2 linked regions of the Pelodiscus sinensis genome follow. The protein of the gene in region 1 interacts with the protein of each later gene in a biochemical or structural test. Links are inferred from orthologs where the notes say so. Each region holds a gene or a part of one and is shown in the gene's direction. Other genes may lie near its edges. The genes, in order: CEBPA and TRIB1.

Region 1 (9,021 bases):
TTCTGTGGCCTGCGCTGTGCAGGGGGTCAGACTAGATGATCATAATGGTCCCTTCTGACCTTAAAGTCTATGAGTCTATAAGACCCCAAAAGTTATTAAGCAACTAAAATAAATAAAATAAAACAGCATGGCCCCTTTACGTTTGAGAGCGGAGCGGTTGAGCACTAAGACCTAGGGAAGACATTGCTTCCCCTTGCTTCAGGTCTTTTTGCCCGTGGCCATCTTGTTTTCTTGATCGAGCACTCCCTCCCCCCCCAGGTAAGCAGAGGGTCTGGAGGCGGGGTCTGCGGGCCCTGGAGGGGGCAGGGGCTGGGCCCAGTAGCCGAGTGTGTCTTAGGGTTGCCAGGTGTCTGGTATTTTCGTCTCCTGGCAGGGGAAAAAAACAGAAAATACTGGACATTTCAGGTGTCCAGCATTTTCTGAATTTTTTTACTGGACAGGAGGCAAAAATACCAAACTGTCCGGGTCAATACTGGACACCTGGCAACCCTAAGAGAGGTTCTAGTTAACTTAAAAGTAACAAGGCCTGCCAGACCTTTTAGCAGAACATGGAAGCCATGAGAGAGCCATTCAAGTGGTAGTGAAGCCATTTAACAGGCATTTTCCAACCTCACCTATATGCTGTCAGTTTCTGAATTTACTGTGTTAGTTTACAGTACCTTAATTTAAAATTTTGTTTTTAAAAAATTCATTAGTGTGTTGCTGAAGATTATAAAATTACATCTCTAAAAAATCACCATCTCATCCTCTCCCCCCCTCCCAGTTACCATCGGGCATAGGGGCATCAGTTTAACGGTACTGTGGAGGCAGGGGTGAATGTAACTCACATTTCTTATAGGTACTGTCCTATTGCACCCTGGATCCCTGCCAGCTCTTTAAATAGCTCCCTACTGGCTTTTGCCACAGCTCAGACAGTTTTTGCAGAACTGAGCACCAGGGCGCACCCACTTACTTTCACCTCTGTGCATAGGGCCCCCTAAGGGCAGCTCTGGAAATGTGTGTCCTCTCTCAAATCCATCATGGGGGGAACTGCACCCTGGTGACACCTGCTGGGCCAGCATGAAGGAAACAGCCAACTGTGGGCACAGAAAGATGCTGGGCAAATTCTAGTCTCTGCCCAGCCCTGAGCCATAGTTACCAGGCCCAGGCTAGAGGCACAGGTGCTGGGACTAGAAGCGGAGGGGGATGCTGCAGCACCCCCTGACTTGAAGTGGTTTCCATTCTTTACAGGATGTACAGTATTTCAGTGGCTCTTAGCCCCTCTTCCTTCCCCCCCAACACCCCCCCCCCCCCCGACAAATTGTCCCAGTCCCCCTGGCACGGGGCAGCCCAGAAGCTGATGGGAGGGAGACTGAGAGCTGGGTCAGGCGCGATGCAACCCGAGATTGTTGTGTTTGCATTTCGGAAATCAGCCATCCTGGTTATCTCCCGGCTGGCTGCCCATTTGGACAGATAGGGCCCGTGCCTTTATCGCCGACTGTCTATTGCGAAAGTAGGCCTGGCCGTGTCATTCGCCCCCAGGCACGGGGAAGCGCTGGGGCTGGCAAGGGGCCGGAGCTTCGGCTCCCCTCCCCATGCACACCCAGAAGACTCTCCCATGGAGGTGAGCCAGACTCCGGAGGAGCCGGTTGTGCCACTGCGTGTGCTGGAGAGACCACCCCTCAGAGCACTACTGGGGCTACTGCTTGGGTAAACTGGCTTGGAGTCAGTGGAGCGGGCCTGGTTTGGCGCATTTCTGCTTTTCCACCCAAATTCTGCCGGGCCCATAATAAATGTGACAGCTAATCAATGCCCCGGCGTAATGAAGCAGAAGGATCACAGACGTCTGGCTTGAGTGATGTTATCAGGCGTGAGACGCAGCTATGCCGCACACCGAACTTTGTACGCTGTAAAGATAACTCTGGCCCATTGCAACCCTTCTGTGCAACTCAGCCACTTTAATCCCTCCTAAGCCTTTGCCTACAGCTACAGGTCTTCTCTGCAGGCTCCTTCGCAGGGAGTTACTTGAACACGGGAGCTTTTTTGTGCCTTGCACTAAAAAAAAATCCTTTCTGAGCTGAGCCAAAGCAGGCTCCCTTGGCCAGCTGCAGTCTGCAGAGAGAAGCAGAATTTCAGCCCCTTCTTCCCTAAGGGCTCCGCCTCTAGCCAACCAGATAAGAGGCGACTGATACGGCTTTTCCACTGGGTCCTAGTGCCCGAAGGGGTGACTTTAGGTTTAACTACAGACTCTTACTCTTAGGTCTGGGACAAGTGCCTGTGTGTCACGGCCCCTGGTTAGGTATGGAGGGTACCGGGTTTGAGCCTGTAATCCGCAAGGGAGCGCATGCACTGGGGGTCGTCTCACGTGCAAACCACGCTGCTGAGAACTTGTTAAAACTCAGCTGCTTCTGAAACTCCCAGCGCACCCGCACGGTAACGGGCCGCCTAGTTCAAGGAACAACGAGTTGCTTAAAAAAGTCTCTGATACTTAGGCAAACACTGTCCAGCTGGTATGTGTAAAACAGAGGAGGGCCAGGCTCTTCACTGGATTTAATGGGTCGGTTCTGTAGAAAAGCAAAGACCCACGATCGCAGTGAATGATGGAAATGCGCTGATGTATTTTGGCCACTTTGCTTCTTTCCCTCCTGAGCTCAGAAGGCGGGGCTCAGAGTACCTGGGACTGCCACACACGTGCCACGGGGCTTCTGAGCAATGCAACCAGATGCTTAACTTTCCCAGAAGGTTTAGACCCGGCATTCTTCTCCCGCCTGGTTATTTCCAAGTCTTTGGAAGGGAGAGGGTGGGGGAACACTTGTTGCATTCTGCCACTTGCATACTCCGTCCGAGCTTGCTGCCCACCCGGTTGCAGGGGAGAAAATGATTCCTTCTCGTTGTCAGCATTGCATACTAATACCGCGCTCCAATACGCTGGCTGGACCCTGAGCTGTGCTTATCTCTGCCTAGTGGCTTGTCACTGTAACAACGTGAGGAAGTCTGGGACGTGTCCCGCGGGCGCTAAGACCCAGCAAAATTGGCAGAGTGGCGTTGTGGTCAAAGGTTCCCAGCAGGAGATTGGACACTAGAGGGCGATCCCCAGCCCTGCCGGGAGTGTATATATAGCAGGCATAAGCTCCAGCCAAGCTATTAGTAAGTGACGGGTAGGAGGGAGGAACTCGGACACGCCGGTGGGAGGGATCGCTGAGTGCAGGGGAAGAAGTAGCACAAGTTGATTCGAGTGAGAGGGGAAGTCTGAGCGGCTCGCAGCTTACCCCCCCGATAGGCACAGCCGCGGGGGCTGTTTGGTGCCAGGACGTCCCGAGGCTCCGAGAGCTTCATCCAGCCGCCTGGGTCCACTTCGCCCTCTCCGAACCCTGGATTCCAGGTGCCGTTCACCATGCCTGGTAGAGTTTAGCTACTCCATGGAGCAAGCCAACTTCTACGAGGTCGAGCCCCGGCCGCCGATGAGCAGCAGCAGCCACCTCCAGACGCCCCAGCCCGGCAGCGCCTACAGCTACAGAGAAGCTCCCTCGGCGGCGACACCTGCTGCGGGAGGAGCGGAGCTGAGCGACATCTGCGAGAACGAGAATTCCATCGACATCAGCGCCTACATCGACCCGGCCGCCTTCAACGACGAGTTCCTGGCCGACCTCTTCCAGCACAGCAAGCAGCAGGAGAAAGCCAAAGCCGTCCTGGCCGGGGACTTCGACTTCCACAGCATGCCCGGGGCCGGCGCGGCCGCCTTGGGGCAGGAGCACCAGACGCCGCCGCAGCACCACCACCAGCAGTCGCTCTTCAGCTGCATGGCCAGCTACACGGACAGCAAGCTGGACCCCCTGTACGAGCGCATCGCTGTCCCCGGCTTGCGGCCCCTGGTGATTAAGCAGGAGCCCAGGGAAGAGGCGGAGTGCAAGCAGACGGCTCTGGCTTCCCTGTACCCTCACCTCCCCCAGCAGCAGCACCCGTCCCATCTCCAGTACCAGATCGCCCACTGCGCGCAGACCACCATGCACCTCCAGCCCGGGCACCCCACGCCGCCCCCCACCCCCGTGCCCAGCCCTCACCACCCGCACCACCCGAACAGCCTGCCCGCCGCCGGCTCCCTCAAGATGCTTCCCGGGGATCATCGGGGCAAAACGAAAAAGTCCGTGGACAAGAACAGCAGCGAGTACCGGGTGCGCCGGGAGCGCAACAACATCGCGGTGCGCAAGAGCCGGGACAAGGCCAAGCAGCGCAACGCGGAGACGCAGCAGAAGGTGATGGAACTCACCAGTGACAATGACCGGCTGCGCAAGCGGGTGGAGCAGCTCACCAGGGAGCTGGAGACACTCAGGGGCATCTTCAGACAGCTGCCCGAGAGCTCCTTGGTCAAGGCCATGGGCAACTGCGCGTGAGACGCCCTGGCCTCGCCTCCCGCGCCTCTCCAAACCCGCCCGGCCTTTTGCCAACTCTCGGGGCCCTATTCAGATCCCTGCGGGGGTCGAGAGCAGCGGCTCTCCTGGGGGGAGTTTGGCTTTTAATTCTGAATGACAAATAAAAGAATCCAGGCAGCTGTAGTATGACACGGTCCGTGCCTTAGGAACGACACGAATAAGCTGAAAAGATTGTGCTTTGCAACGAACCAGAACGCGCCCACGTGGCTACAGGGTAGCGACCCCCCACGCTGTGCCTTACAAGTTGGGTTCCAAAGCTCTGTGGGCTGTTTCCGTCAGCCCGACAGGGGCGTGAGCAGACGGGTAGGGGTCGTGCGCTCTTGGTGGGTTTGGGGCTTAATTGGTCCTGGCTGGGGAGAGGTGTATGTCTTCCTCCCTGGGGAGTGATGGGGGGGGGCGTGGGTGAGACATTACTTGGGAGACAATATACCTGCTGTGTTAGGTGTCAGGGAAAGCCGAGTGCAAGCAAGACTCCGCCCCTGGTGCCTTCAGATGAGTCTCTTGTTAGGTGAAGGCAAGGTTTGCTGGACCGTGGGGGCAACGCATAGATTGCCCCTCCCCCTCAGTGTTAGAGGGGACCCCAAGACTGAAAGGGAACAGCACCTAGCTAAGGAGTCCTTCATTTTCTCCTTCAACCAAAACGAAGAGCAGCAATGCCTGTACTGTATGTCGTGACATGGCGAAGCACATACCAATACATGCCTATCGATGCGGGTATTCACTACGAACTTTCAATGTATTTTGCTTTCTTCGAGGGATATTAAGCACCTCACCGAACCTGTCTTCTCTCTCCAAGCTGTGCCTCATGTAATGTGATGCCTTTCTGTGTATAGTGGCCACAGTTTATTGTATTGTATTGCTTCCATCTTTGCCATCACAATTTCCTTATCTGGTGGCAGAGAGATAACCCTTATGTTGCAGCATTTTTGGTTATAGCTTCCTGAGGGGGCAAGCTGCCTCCTAATAACCCTAAAGTCTGCACCTCCTGGGTGCCTGGGATTTGATTACCTTGGAAGGGAGGGCTAGGTCACATCCACTCTCTGGGTTTTCTTCCCCCTTGGGGGAAAGAAGATGCTGCTAGTTAACTGCAGCTGTGTAGATTCTTTGGATCCTCCCAAGGGAGAAGGAAACAGCAACCAATTCCCCCTGCTAGCCAGCACTTTTAACCAGCCGGTGCTTTTCTTTATAATGTGTGTATGAATTTCTCATATGAGTAATTGGAGAAAAGTGCAAGGTGAAGGAAAGTTAATGTTTGCAAGTGTGAGATCTGGAAAGCTATGTTGCTTGCATGGGTGTGTGTGTGTGCGCGTGTGTGCTTGTAGGTATGTGTGTGTGTGTATAGATATCTATAGCGATATCTTTCTAATCATCTCTATACACACATACCATGGTGAATTATGAATTGAAAAAAATCCTGCATATAAAGTTTGTCAATTCTGGTTACATTCATAAATAAACAATATATATTCTACCATAATTATCTCCTTGTTTTTTCCTCCCCCCCCCCCTCCCGGGGGCTGCACCTGAAGCAAAATGTTTCCCTTCTACTGAAATATGAATCTGTTCCCCTCTCCTCCTTCCACGTGCACCCTGCTATGCATGGTAATTTGAATGTATACCTTGCACTTATAATAACCATTTAGCTCCAGAGAAATAAATACATTTATTTCACGTGGGTGGCAGTGTAATCGCTGATTACGATTTAAAATGTGCATTAATCACTCCCAGATCTGGTCGTTTTAATTTTGTGTAGTGAGTGATATACACTTTTTTTAAACAAAACGATGTCCAAACTGTAATGGGTCTATTACAGCGGGCCACTGTGGTCACCCCTTCTCATATGCTTAACACTTTAAATTACTGTGCTGAAGAACATAAGAAAACCAGTTGCCATTGTTGTAAGAGCAGTACTACTTCTGATTATTTTTTCCCTAGCAAAGCAAAATGACCTGCCCCGTTGGGATGCCTTGCCACTGAACTGACAGCTCTTGTGGGTTAGTAACAGTTGAGGATCTGGGGGTATTTCTCCTGCTTCGTTCAAAACAACCATATTAAAGGCGTTCTGTTCTGCCCGGAGAAAACTGGTATATTTGGTGCATGGGTGGGAGAACCATGGGTGGGATTTAAAAGCACTTCTTTGCTGGTTGTCACCCCGTGCCCCTCTTCAGCAGCGAGTCTGGAGTTCCTAGGGAGACAGGCCTGGGCTCTAGTCAGATCTAGTTGCGTGCTCAAAGACAACCATTTAAGAAATGCAAAAACATACGGGTCCGAGTGCAGCTCCAACCTGCACAGCCTGGGTAATTCCTCCTGCCTGTGTCCTTTGACCTCTATGGGTTCGCTAAAAATAACCTTGAAACCGGGGCCTGAGATGTGGCCAGTGTGGAGAGGCTGCAGAATGAGGCAGCGAGGTGGCGGGGCCCGCTCAGGAGAACTCGCAACGCTCGGTGACCCAGAATGGCCCCTGGAGATACGTGGGCCGGGGAGAGGACAGCAATGGGGACACTTAAGTTTCACCAAATGGGCAGGCTCGCTCCCGCCCGTCCCTTCTTTCCTCCGCACCTGGAGGGCTCGGCCCTGCTAACCCAGGCGCTTTGCGCGAGCAGGATCGGGGCCGGGGGTATTCGGAGGGCGAGTTGTTCGTCAGCGTCTACGCGCCACAGGCCTGGTCCTCGCGTCACACGGGGACAGCGCGGCCCGGCTGCCAGAGGGGAGTGAGTTTGCCCCCAGATGCCCTTGCGGGCGGGTGAGACAAAGTCCACCCCCGAGCCCGTCAGAGACTTCGTGGTGCCTGGACACCGACCTGCGGGGCAGGAAGAGCTCGCCGGGCCGCCTCCCCCCTTTTGATTCTGGGAAGCGGGGGAGGGAGCGTGGCCCCATGTTACAACCTCGCAGCTACTGCAGCGGTTCCGCCCGGCAGGGCTGCTTCGAAGGGGCAGAGCTCGCATGGAAGAGGCTCGCGGGGCGCCTGCACCTGAGAGATGGAGGCGCGCAGGGGGCCCGCCCAGCTGGGAGCCTGCAAGAAAAGCCGGGTCCCCGCGCACCAGCCAGTCCAGCTCAGCGCCGGGGGGCGGGGGGGGGGGGGAATCCTGCAGTCTCCAGCCCCGCGCCAGCTCGTTCCCGCGCAGAGTCGCCCGGAACAGACCGACCGCGGGAGGCTCCGGCGGGTCCCGGCGTAGGACCAGAGCCAAGTCCCCGGCACGGCTCCAATAGGCGGCGCGCGCTCCGCTCCCCCTGGGCCGAGACACACTTTGCCGGGCCGGTCCCGCTGTGCGCAGGCCCAGGCCCTGCCCGAGGAGGGGGTGGCGGCCGCGCCTTTTGGTGATAGGGCCCAGCGCCCCCGCGCCTAGTCTGGGGTGCGCTCTGCCGCCCCCTCCTTGCTCCGGGCGCCAGGGTGGGGGTGTCCCTGGCACTTTGCTGCGGGAGAGGGGAGGGCGAGCTGCTGCCAGTGGCGCCGGGGACAGGTGCAGGGGGGTGTGGCCTTGCGCGGCTCTCTGCGGGGGAGAGCAGAGCAGGGACCCTCCGCTCAGGGCCGCATGTCCCCGGCCCAGACTGCGCACCGAGCGGAGGGGGAAGCCGATGATGGTTGCCCGGGACATGGAGCTTTCATTGACCCCTCCCCCGCCCCTTAATCTGCCCCCTTGTCGTTAAAAAGCAGCAGGCGAGGCGATCTCCCCTCCCGCCGCAGCCACGTACAGAGGCAGGAGCACGCGCAGCCCCCACGCGAGGTGCGGCCAGCACATCTGCACGCGGTGCCCCGTGCTCCGCTCCCCCACGCGGCGACCGGGTCAGCAGAGCTGGGCGAAGGGGATACAGAAATGTGCCGCTGGTGCTGCTTGTCCCGACGTGAAGAAGAGAAGGGGAGTGAGAAAGTTTGGATCAAGGAAGGGAGCGAGGCGATGGGCTTGTGTTGGGGGCTCTCCTGCCATTGGGAGGCCGTTCTACAATACCGGCTGGGGGCGGGCAGAAAGGAACCCACTCCCAGGAAAATAAAAAACAAAACAAACAAAACCTCTTCAGCTCAGGAAAAACGTGTCACAAGCTTTAAATCTGTCAAAAATCGACCTGCCTTTGCAGGAAATGAGGTAAAAATCAGAGTATCAGAATAAAGTACCCCAAAGCACATCCAAAATGTTAATTCTGTGCAATGCTGTAAATTGAAATACCTAAAATTCAATAAACCCTTATGACTTCAAAATACTAAACTTCTGGAAATAAGGAGTGTTTCCTCTTTTTCTGCATATGGTTTTCTTTCCAGCAGGAGTGGTCTTTCTTAGGACCATGTGCCTCTCTGATTTTGTAGATGAGGTAGACACTAGTTTATCATCAGTGACATCATGCAGAAACTGGAGACCCCTGTATTAACCTGATTCTAACTGGCCACTGTAACAGACTGGTAATTATCATGCTATCTGCAGCACCTCTGTGATTTTCATGTTGTATTTTCAATAAACACAGTGTATTGATTTTACCCTGAAAAAGATCCAGTGTGCTTCTTATAAGCAAAACAAGGTGACCTGGAAAGTGATAAAAGAATCTTTGTCTCTTTTAATGGAGGAATGGTTGGATGGCTCAAGCTTTGTCATTGTAGCAGTATACAAGATTATTTCCTAAA
Region 2 (9,021 bases), on another chromosome or scaffold:
TGTGTGCAAATAGCACATTTTAGTTTTTCTTCCTCCTGAAGAATTCTGTCAAAACTAGAGCTGGCTGAACTATCTGTAGGGAACATTTGTCAGTTATGTTGCTCTTTTTTCCATTTGCAAATAATCTGTGAGCTCCTCCTGATTTCTGCCAATCAATTTTGTTATTAATTTGGAGCTAACATTCTCAGCCTTCAGGTGGCTGGCAAGCTGTTCAGTTTAATGCTGAAATTCACTGGGTATGATCAGTCACCTAAGTCACAAGGTATTATTTCACCTATGTGACAGCATCATTGAAACTTTTTTGAACAGAAGCATGACAAATAGTAAATATTTTTGGTCATATGCAAAACCACTGCATAAGCATTTAAAATTTCTGCCAGTTTCCCAGCTACATAAAAACTGTAGGTAGAAATAATAGTAAAGCTACTTTTAAAGACACATTTTCAAAACAAGCAAACAAAGCAGTCTCTGCAATTCGTGCCTCTATATCCATCCATTTGCATGTCTAACGATCAGATTTCAGCTCATAATCAGGTAGTTACTGGTACAAGGGTGCATCTGCACAGCAACATTATTTCAAAATAACTAGCATTATTTCCAAATAACTTAGTCCGCATCTACACAGCAGGCAGGTATTTTGAAATAATGTTGAAATACTGTCAAGCTGGAAGACTTCTTACTCTGAATCCTGTAACCCTCAATGTACGAGGAGTAAGGGAAGTTGGAGGAAGAGTGCTGTAGTTCAAAATAGGTGCTGTGTAGACTCCCCGAATTTCGAAATAAGCTATGCAATTGACCTAGCTCAATTTGTGTAGCTTATTTCAAGTTAAGGCCTGCTGTGTAGATGAACCCGAAGTGTTTAATCTTACACCTGCACATTCATTGTGAGGGCAGGGGTGCTGGAGCAATTTTTAAAGCAGGAGTGCTGAGAGTCAGTGAAACAAATTGTAAACCCTGTATCATACTGCATGGAATGCCACAGTGATATGAGGAACAAATACTGTAAAACCTAATTTAATGCATGGCCATAGATATTACCATCACTTCAAATGCCTAGCTGCCTGCATGGTAGGAATGTGAAAGGAGAGCCATGCCAAACTGCATGTCTTACTGGTAGATTATATCTGAACTGCATGCAAAGCCACAGTGCATACACTGTTGCTAGGTAACACAGCAGAATCCTATGCAATGCAGTTCCGGAGCTTTATACTTGCAAGATTAGTTTGTACAGCGGAGAGTGTCAATGCAAGAGATGATTCCAAGGTGTAATGGGGATGGTCTTATGGTAAGGGCAGTGTCCAGTGGTTTAGGAGATCCAGATACAGTTTATAGTTGTGCTGCCTACAGCCTTGCTGCATGTATTTGGGCAAGTCACAAGTCACTTGATCTCTCTGCACCCCCATTACAATGATATTAGTGACATTGTTCTGTCTCACCAGAGTTTTGTGAGGATGAATCCATTGCTGTTTGAACAGCTTTCACTTGGACACACAAATACATGCAATACTGAACTGTGACAGATGTCAGCCTCTGGCAATGCCCAGCTGCATGCACTGCTGCTTTATGACAAGGTATTGCATTCTCTGCTGGAGTAGGACACAAGGCAATATGCACTTCTGCAAGGTGACATAGAGTTACATGCACCCCTGCACACACACCACAAGTCCTGCTGGAGGGTGACACAGAGCTGCATACATCCTTCTCCCCCTTCTCCACTGCATATACTGCTGGAATATGGCACAAAGGAGCCACATCCCCCCCATACACACTACACATACACACTACATATATTGCTGAAATATGACACAACAGAGGTCCATGCATTGCACACCCTCTACACACCCCATGCACTGCTGAAGGGTGACACAGAACTGCATGCACATTGGAGTATACCAGAGGTCCAGGCATTTTTCCCCCACCAAAGACATACACCATATATGCTGCTGAAGGGTGTCAGAGAGCTGCATACACCTCCTTCTCCCACCCCACTGCATGCTGCTGCTTATGAGTTAATGGTATGGGCCACCGTACTACGCAACTTTTAATATCCCTACTGCATACATTGCCCCCCCCCCGCCCGCACACACTGCATACACTGCTGGAGTATAACAAAGTTCCATACATCCCGCCCCCCCTTCCCCGCACACACTGCATACACTGCTGGAGTATAACAAAGGTCCATGCATCCCCCCCCTCTCCCCGCACACACTGCATACACTGCTGGAGTATAACAAAGGTCCATGCATCCCCCCCTCTCCCCGCACACACTGCATACACTGCTGGAGTATAACAAAGGTCCATGCATCCCCCCAATCTCCCCGCACACACTGCATACACTGCTGGAGTATAACAAAGGTCCATGCATCCCCCCCTCTCCCCGCACACACTGCATACACTGCTGGAGTTTAACAAAGGTCCATGCATCCCCCCCCTCTCCCCGCACACACTGCATACACTGCTGGAGTATAACAAAGGTCCATGCATCCCCCCCTCCCCGCACATACTGCATACACTGCTGGAGTATAACAAAGGTCCATGCATCCCCCCCTCCCCGCACATACTGCATACACTGCTGGAGTATAACAGAGATCCAAGCATCCCCCCCTCTCCCCACACACACTGCATACACTGCTGGAGTATAACAAAGGTCCATGCATCCCCCCCCCTCTCCCCGCACACACTGCATACACTGCTGGAGTATAACAAAGGTCCATGCATCCCCCCCCTCTCCCCGCACACACTGCATACACTGCTGGAGTATAACAAAGGTCCATGCATCCCCCCCTCCCCGCACACACTGCATACACTGCTGGAGTATAACAGAGATCCAAGCATCCCCCCCTCTCCCCACACACACTGCATACACTGCTGGAGTATAACAAAGGTCCATGCATCCCCCCCTCCCCGCACACACTGCATACACTGCTGGAGTATAACAGAGATCCAAGCATCCCCCCCTCTCCCCACACACACTGCATACACTGCTGGAGTATAACAAAGGTCCATGCATCCCCCCCTCCCCGCACACACTGCATACACTGCTGGAGTATAACAGAGATCCAAGCATCCCCCCCTCTCCCCACACACACTGCATACACTGCTGGAGTATAACAAAGGTCCATGCATCCCCCCCTCCCCGCACACACTGCATACACTGCTGGAGTATAACAGAGATCCAAGCATCCCCCCCTCTCCCCACACACACTGCATACACTGCTGGAGTATAACAAAGGTCCATGCATCCCCCCCCTCCCCGCACACACTGCATACACTGCTGGAGTATAACAAAGGTCCATGCATCCCCCCCCTCTCCCCGCACACACTGCATACACTGCTGGAGTATAACAAAGGTCCATGCACTGCTGGAGTATAACAGAGATCCAAGCACTGCCCCCCCTGCATGGCCTGCTGATGGATGACACCGAGCTGCATGCCCCCCCCCCCCCGCGGCATTCGCTGCTGTCTGGGTGACACACGAGAGCCGCTTTCGCCCATCCCAGTCTTCCTCAGTCATCCCCGGTGTCCTGAATGAGGCGGGCGCGCCAATGAGAGCGGGCCTCGCTCCTTTGGCCCCTGCCCACTTCCCCTTGCGTCAAGGGAACTTTTAAGCTCCTCGGCGCTTGGCAGCGGCTGTGGAAAAAAGCCCCAGGCTGCGGCTCGGCGCGCGGTGCCCGGGTGCAGGGGGTGGGGAGACCGGGTTGGTGGGGAGAAAGGAAGGGAGTAGGGGGGGGGGGGGCTGTGCTCTGCTCGCCATTGCACAACCCTGCCCCGCCGACAGATAACCTGCGCGTGAGCGTGCGGGGTGACTCACGCCGGGAGGGCACAGCCCGGGCTGGCTGCTCGCTCGCTCACACACTCGCCGAGCAGGAGGCGAGAGGCACCGACTCGCTCCGCAGCCCCGGCCGCCTTGGAGACCCAGCCGCGCCCCCTGCCGCAGGGACCCGCTGGGCGCCCGCCGCCCCCGGCCGGGGAGAGCTCCTGCCCGGCCGCGCTCCGTCTCTGCCCCGCCGGCGCGCTCCGTCTCCATGAGCCGCAAGACGCAGCCTCGCAGCCCGGGACTGCTGCTGCCGGCCGCCCGCTGCCGGGGCGCCCCCTCCAAGCGCCTGCTGCTGCAGCCGGACGGCGCCGGGGAGGACGCGCCCGCGCCCAAGTGCCCCCGGCTCTCCGAGTGCCCCAGCAGCCCCGCGGACTGTCTCAGCGCGCCGGGCTCGCCCTGCGCCCCCGCCTCTCCGGGCAGCGCCCCGAGCCCCAGCCTCATCGCCGGCTACCTGCTGCTGCCCCTGGCCGACAGGGAGCATGTGTCCCGGGCGCTCAACATCCACACGGGTCAGGAGCTGCGCTGCAAGGTAAGCGCCAGCTGCCGGCCGCGGCGGGGTCAGCCTAAGGGGAGTGGGGCTTGGAGCCCGGTTACTGCTCCCTCGCCCAGACCAGCGCTGCAGCCTTTGGGATGCGCCCCCCCCCCCCCCCCCCAGTGCTGGAACTGGGGTGCGCCTCTTGGCTTGAAGCGGTTTCCACCAGAGCCAAGGTTTACAGGTGGATAAGGAGTCCTGTGGCACCTTATTTGGGCATAAGCTTTGGTGGGTAAAAACCCGCTTGGTCAGGCTGGTTCCGTGCCTCTCAGCAGCCCCACAATACAGATTGTTCCAGCATCCCTGCCTGTGTGCTCCCATTGATCCCTGCCAGCCACAGAGCTTGGGCAGCTGGGCTGGGAGGGAAAGGGGGTCAGTGGCTAGGGACCTGGGTGCCGTTCTGATGACTTTTGCATGGGGGTCTGCTGGTGAGAAAAGTTAGATCTGCTCTCTGCCGACACTGCCTAGATTCCACACTGGGGTGTTACCAGACTCCCCGTCTGAGCTCATTGGATTCCCAGTGACTGTTGCTATAGTTAGCTTTGAAGAGGACTGTGGCTTGTAAGGGGAGGAATAAAAATACCAGGAGCAGACGCACATTGGAAACAGTCAAGTCTTCCAAGCAAATGCTCTAGCTTAAAACAAAGGGCCAAACTGAGCTCCATCAGCAACAGCTCCCGCCCTGTCTCCTACTGTCAGTGACACACAATAGAACAGTTCCTGATTAGCCCTGCTTGCAGAGTTTTCCATGAGATGTCAGCAATGCTTTTAAAGAACACACTTATGCTTGTCTGGTCTGTTGGACCTATTTCTGAATGGGCTGGTTGCTGACTCTGAGTTTACTGCTGCCACCTGCTGCCTGCCTCTAATGAGATAAGGAGTGTTTTCTAATCCTTTCTTGGCAGATGGGCCTAAAGGCATGTTTCGAACTGAAAATAAAGTGGGGAGGGGGAGGTATTAATGATTGTAATACTGGGTATGAAGGAAGTGAAATTGAAATTGTAAGCTGTGCCTCCAAGTTTCTCCGTGGAGATATCAGATTAATAGAAATGATGACATTCCCTGTGTGTCACTGATTCCAGTCAGGCCTAGGATGTGAGTAACTCTAACAAAGCTTAACAGCTCACCAAGAGAACACTGTCGGATCCTTACAAAACATCCGTCTGCCTGTCATTCCCTGAATTAAACATCTGTGGGTTTCATCCTTTTGCCTAATGCAGCTTGCGTACCGAGACTTACAGTGTGACCACAATCACTGGTGTGTGAAACCTCGGAGTAACTGAAAGGCAAAATCATCAGTAGTTCTTAAACATTTCTTCTCCATCAGATTACTAATAGCTGAATATTTTTGGAAAGTGTTTCAGTGGCAGGTTTGAACATAATTTATCTTGAGGGCTGGCCTCCATCCAGTTGTCTCAGCATTGTCCCTGGAAATTTGTTGTATAGTACACAAGCTTTAGCACCCCTAGTAATGGAGGGATTTTTTTTAAATTTTGTCTTTACAGGTGTTCCCTCTCAAACACTACCAGGACAAAATTCGACCTTATATTCAGCTGCCGTCTCATAAAAATATTACTGGGGTAGTAGAAGTGATTCTGGGGGACACCAGGGCCTACGTCTTCCTTGAGAAGGACTTTGGGGACATGCACTCCTATGTGAGGAGCTGCAAAAGGCTGCGAGAAGAGGAGGCTGCCAAGCTGTTCAAGCAGATTGTCTCAGCCGTAGCTCACTGCCACCAGTCGGCCATTGTGCTGGGTGACCTCAAGCTCAGGAAATTTGTCTTTTCTACTGAAGAAAGGTGAGTTGTGCTGAATGAGTGGTCTTCGTGGAGGTGGAGAGGAGGAATAGCCCTTCCTGAATAGATTTCTCCTCTAGTTAATCAAGGTTCTATAAAATCTTCAGCGCAAACTAGGGGAAAGGCATTTTCTTTGGGGGAGAGGGGGACACACTGTAGATAAGTGAAATAAGGTTCTAAACCCGCTGTCCTCTGCAACTTGTCCTGTACACCACTTGGGGTGAGGTGTAGGGGTGTGTGTCTGTATCCCTAACATGTCATGGCTCTGATCTGTAAATATTAATTTTTCCTTGGAGCTTGAGTGTACGTGTACTTACCTAGCATAAATTCCTTTCTTATTCAGCAGCTGCTCCGATTAAACTGTTTGGTGTACAAACAGATAACGATTTGAGAACTTCCTAGATCTAGATGTCAAAAATGCAATGCATTTGAACATCAGATTCAAAGTGAAATGAGAAAAAAGCAGGAAATGAAATGAAGCTGGGACATTATATAACAAAGGGGAAACAACTTTGATTTAAAAACAAAGGTGTAAAGAATCCAGGCTGCCATGCTGTAACTGGATTTTTGCAGGTGAATTCTTATCTTTTTGCAAATATCCACTGAACTCAGTGCTAGTGTAGTTGGAGTCTGTGTTATTCAAAGTTACACTTACAGTGAAAGTAGAAGCATTTCTCTCTCCTCCTTTACAGAGTTCAGCCTTCATATTTAAGATCTAAGTGCCACATGTCTGGTGTGCTTGTATATGGTCATAGACATCCCTTCCCCTCGCAGAAAGAAATGAATGAATTAAATAGAGTAAATGTTGCAACTTGAAGGAGAACCCAAATGTTAAATGAGCTACTTGTGGTATGGACAGACACACACTGTCTCTAATCAATTTTAGCCCTAAGTATAGGTTTTGTAAAAGTTAGATTTACAAGATCTAGGTCAGTAGAACTATGCCTGATTTAAAAAAAATTATTCAGACAAGAAAAAAGTATGTAAACAAACATTTCTGTGCAATGTTTCCTGTCCTTGAGTTGCAGCATAGTGCAATTCAAAACCTGAAAGGTAATATTCTGAACAAAACTGAAAGTAACTAGTTTATTATTCTAGTAAAAACTGCAGAGAGTCAATACCATTTCACCATGGGGACATTTTTTAAATTCTTTCACTAGTAATAGCTAAGATCATAAAACAAGGAAATTCACTTTTTAAAATAATTTTAACTTGGACAATATTGCTGAGTTAACTTATTAATGTATGAAGCAAGGTAGTTGTTCCAATGCTTCCTTTTTTTTTTTCTAAGTAGAAAAATATATATTACCCTACAAAAAAGCTCCCCTGAAGGAAACTTTTGCAGTTTTTCCAACCAGTCATGATAAGATGCAGCCATTGCTGGAATATAAAATCACACACAGTCTTTCTAATTTGGAAATATGCATTGTACAGGCTAGTATCTTATGCATCAGATTTGGTAACATGAGGGTTAAGCAGTGTAAGGCAGACTCTCTTAGTCTAAGAAGAACAGGTGCAGTGTTTTAGTGCTACAGCAGCCAATCAGAGGCCAACAGCATAGGCTGAGTCATATTTTCCGTTTACAGAACCAATGGGTATTTTACATTACGGTAGGAAGTCACATTGAGGACATGCTGCAGTTAATGTATTTACGCACCATTAAGCTGTAAGGCAGAATAAAGCCGTTCAAGAGCAGAGGAAGGGCCCCTCATCTAATGTAAAACCTTTCTACTTTCCCTGTGCAATTAGGAATTAGGATGAGCCTGTCCCTGCAGAAGAGATGGCCATTGCAGCATGACATGGAATATCATTTGGGGGGAAAATATAAATGAGCAGGAGGGTTAATCACCACTGTATGTGCAAAAGAAATTCGGACTTTGAGATTTTAAAAAGCATGCTGCTGTATGTGCAGTCTCATTGATAAACAGGAGACAGTCATTAAATTAACCAAGCACAGTTCCAGTACGATCTGGGTAGAATGGCACTTAGGGGTATTCCTTGATTGTGGAATTTGGACAATGTATGGGCTATAAATAACATTATTTTCCATAATATGTAGTATTGTGTAACATTGAAACTGTAGCCTTACCTTTGTTGCAATCGTATCGGATCTATCCTAGCACTCAGTTTCTCTGTTAAATGTTCACAACTAAGTTTTTTCCCCCCTCCCTTTGGTCACGGTACTGCGGTTGGGGCTGTATGAAGTTATTTTTGTGCTCATTATTAAAACAGTTTTGTAACATGTACATCTGTTTTTCTGTTCCTCAGGACTCAGCTGAGACTAGAGAGCCTAGAGGACACTCACATCATCAAGGGGGAAGATGATGCTCTATCAGATAAACATGGCTGCCCAGCATATGTCAGTCCTGAGATCTTAAACACAACAGGGACCTACTCTGGAAAATCAGCTGATGTTTGGAGTTTAGGAGTAATGCTGTATACCCTCCTCGTAGGACGCTATCCCTTCCATGACTCAGACCCTAGTACTCTGTTTTCTAAAATCCGCCGGGGACAGTTCTGTATTCCTGATCACGTCTCTCCGAAAGCCAGATGTCTCATTCGCAGTCTACTGAGACGGGAGCCCTCCGAAAGACTAACTGCTCCAGAGATCTTGCTTCATCCTTGGTTTGAAGCAGTTTTGGAACCGGGATACGTAGACCAGGATATAGGAACTTCTGATCAAATTGTTCCAGAACATCATGGAGACAATGATGATATTAGTTCCTTCTTCTGTTAATCCTGAAATCTCCAAGAACCTCCTACAGTTCTCGCACATGGCATCTTTTTAGGTTTTCATTTTTCCACGTTACAAATGACAGCATTCTAAAGTGTAACTATAATCAGAAAAGCGACTGTTTAAAAAACAAACAAGCAAGG

The links.
Region 2: the proteins of CEBPA (region 1) and TRIB1 form a complex in vitro, tested with the Homo sapiens proteins (2 studies listed by BioGRID and IntAct, with this or other methods). The link is inferred for Pelodiscus sinensis from reciprocal best matches to the Homo sapiens genes CEBPA and TRIB1.

The regions. Positions count from the first base shown.
Region 1 is NC_134722.1:21,991,900-22,000,920, forward strand, and holds CEBPA (CCAAT/enhancer-binding protein alpha), read left to right. Parts: upstream 1-3,108; 5' UTR 3,109-3,398; coding exon 3,399-4,370; 3' UTR 4,371-5,886; downstream 5,887-9,021. UniProt on the Homo sapiens protein: Transcription factor that coordinates proliferation arrest and the differentiation of myeloid progenitors, adipocytes, hepatocytes, and cells of the lung and the placenta.
Region 2 is NC_134712.1:18,399,130-18,408,150, reverse strand, and holds the start of TRIB1 (tribbles homolog 1), read left to right. Parts: upstream 1-3,647; 5' UTR 3,648-4,025; coding exon 4,026-4,346; intron 4,347-5,854; coding exon 5,855-6,147; intron 6,148-8,412; coding exon 8,413-8,881; 3' UTR 8,882-9,021. UniProt on the Homo sapiens protein: Adapter protein involved in protein degradation by interacting with COP1 ubiquitin ligase. The COP1-binding motif is masked by autoinhibitory interactions with the protein kinase domain.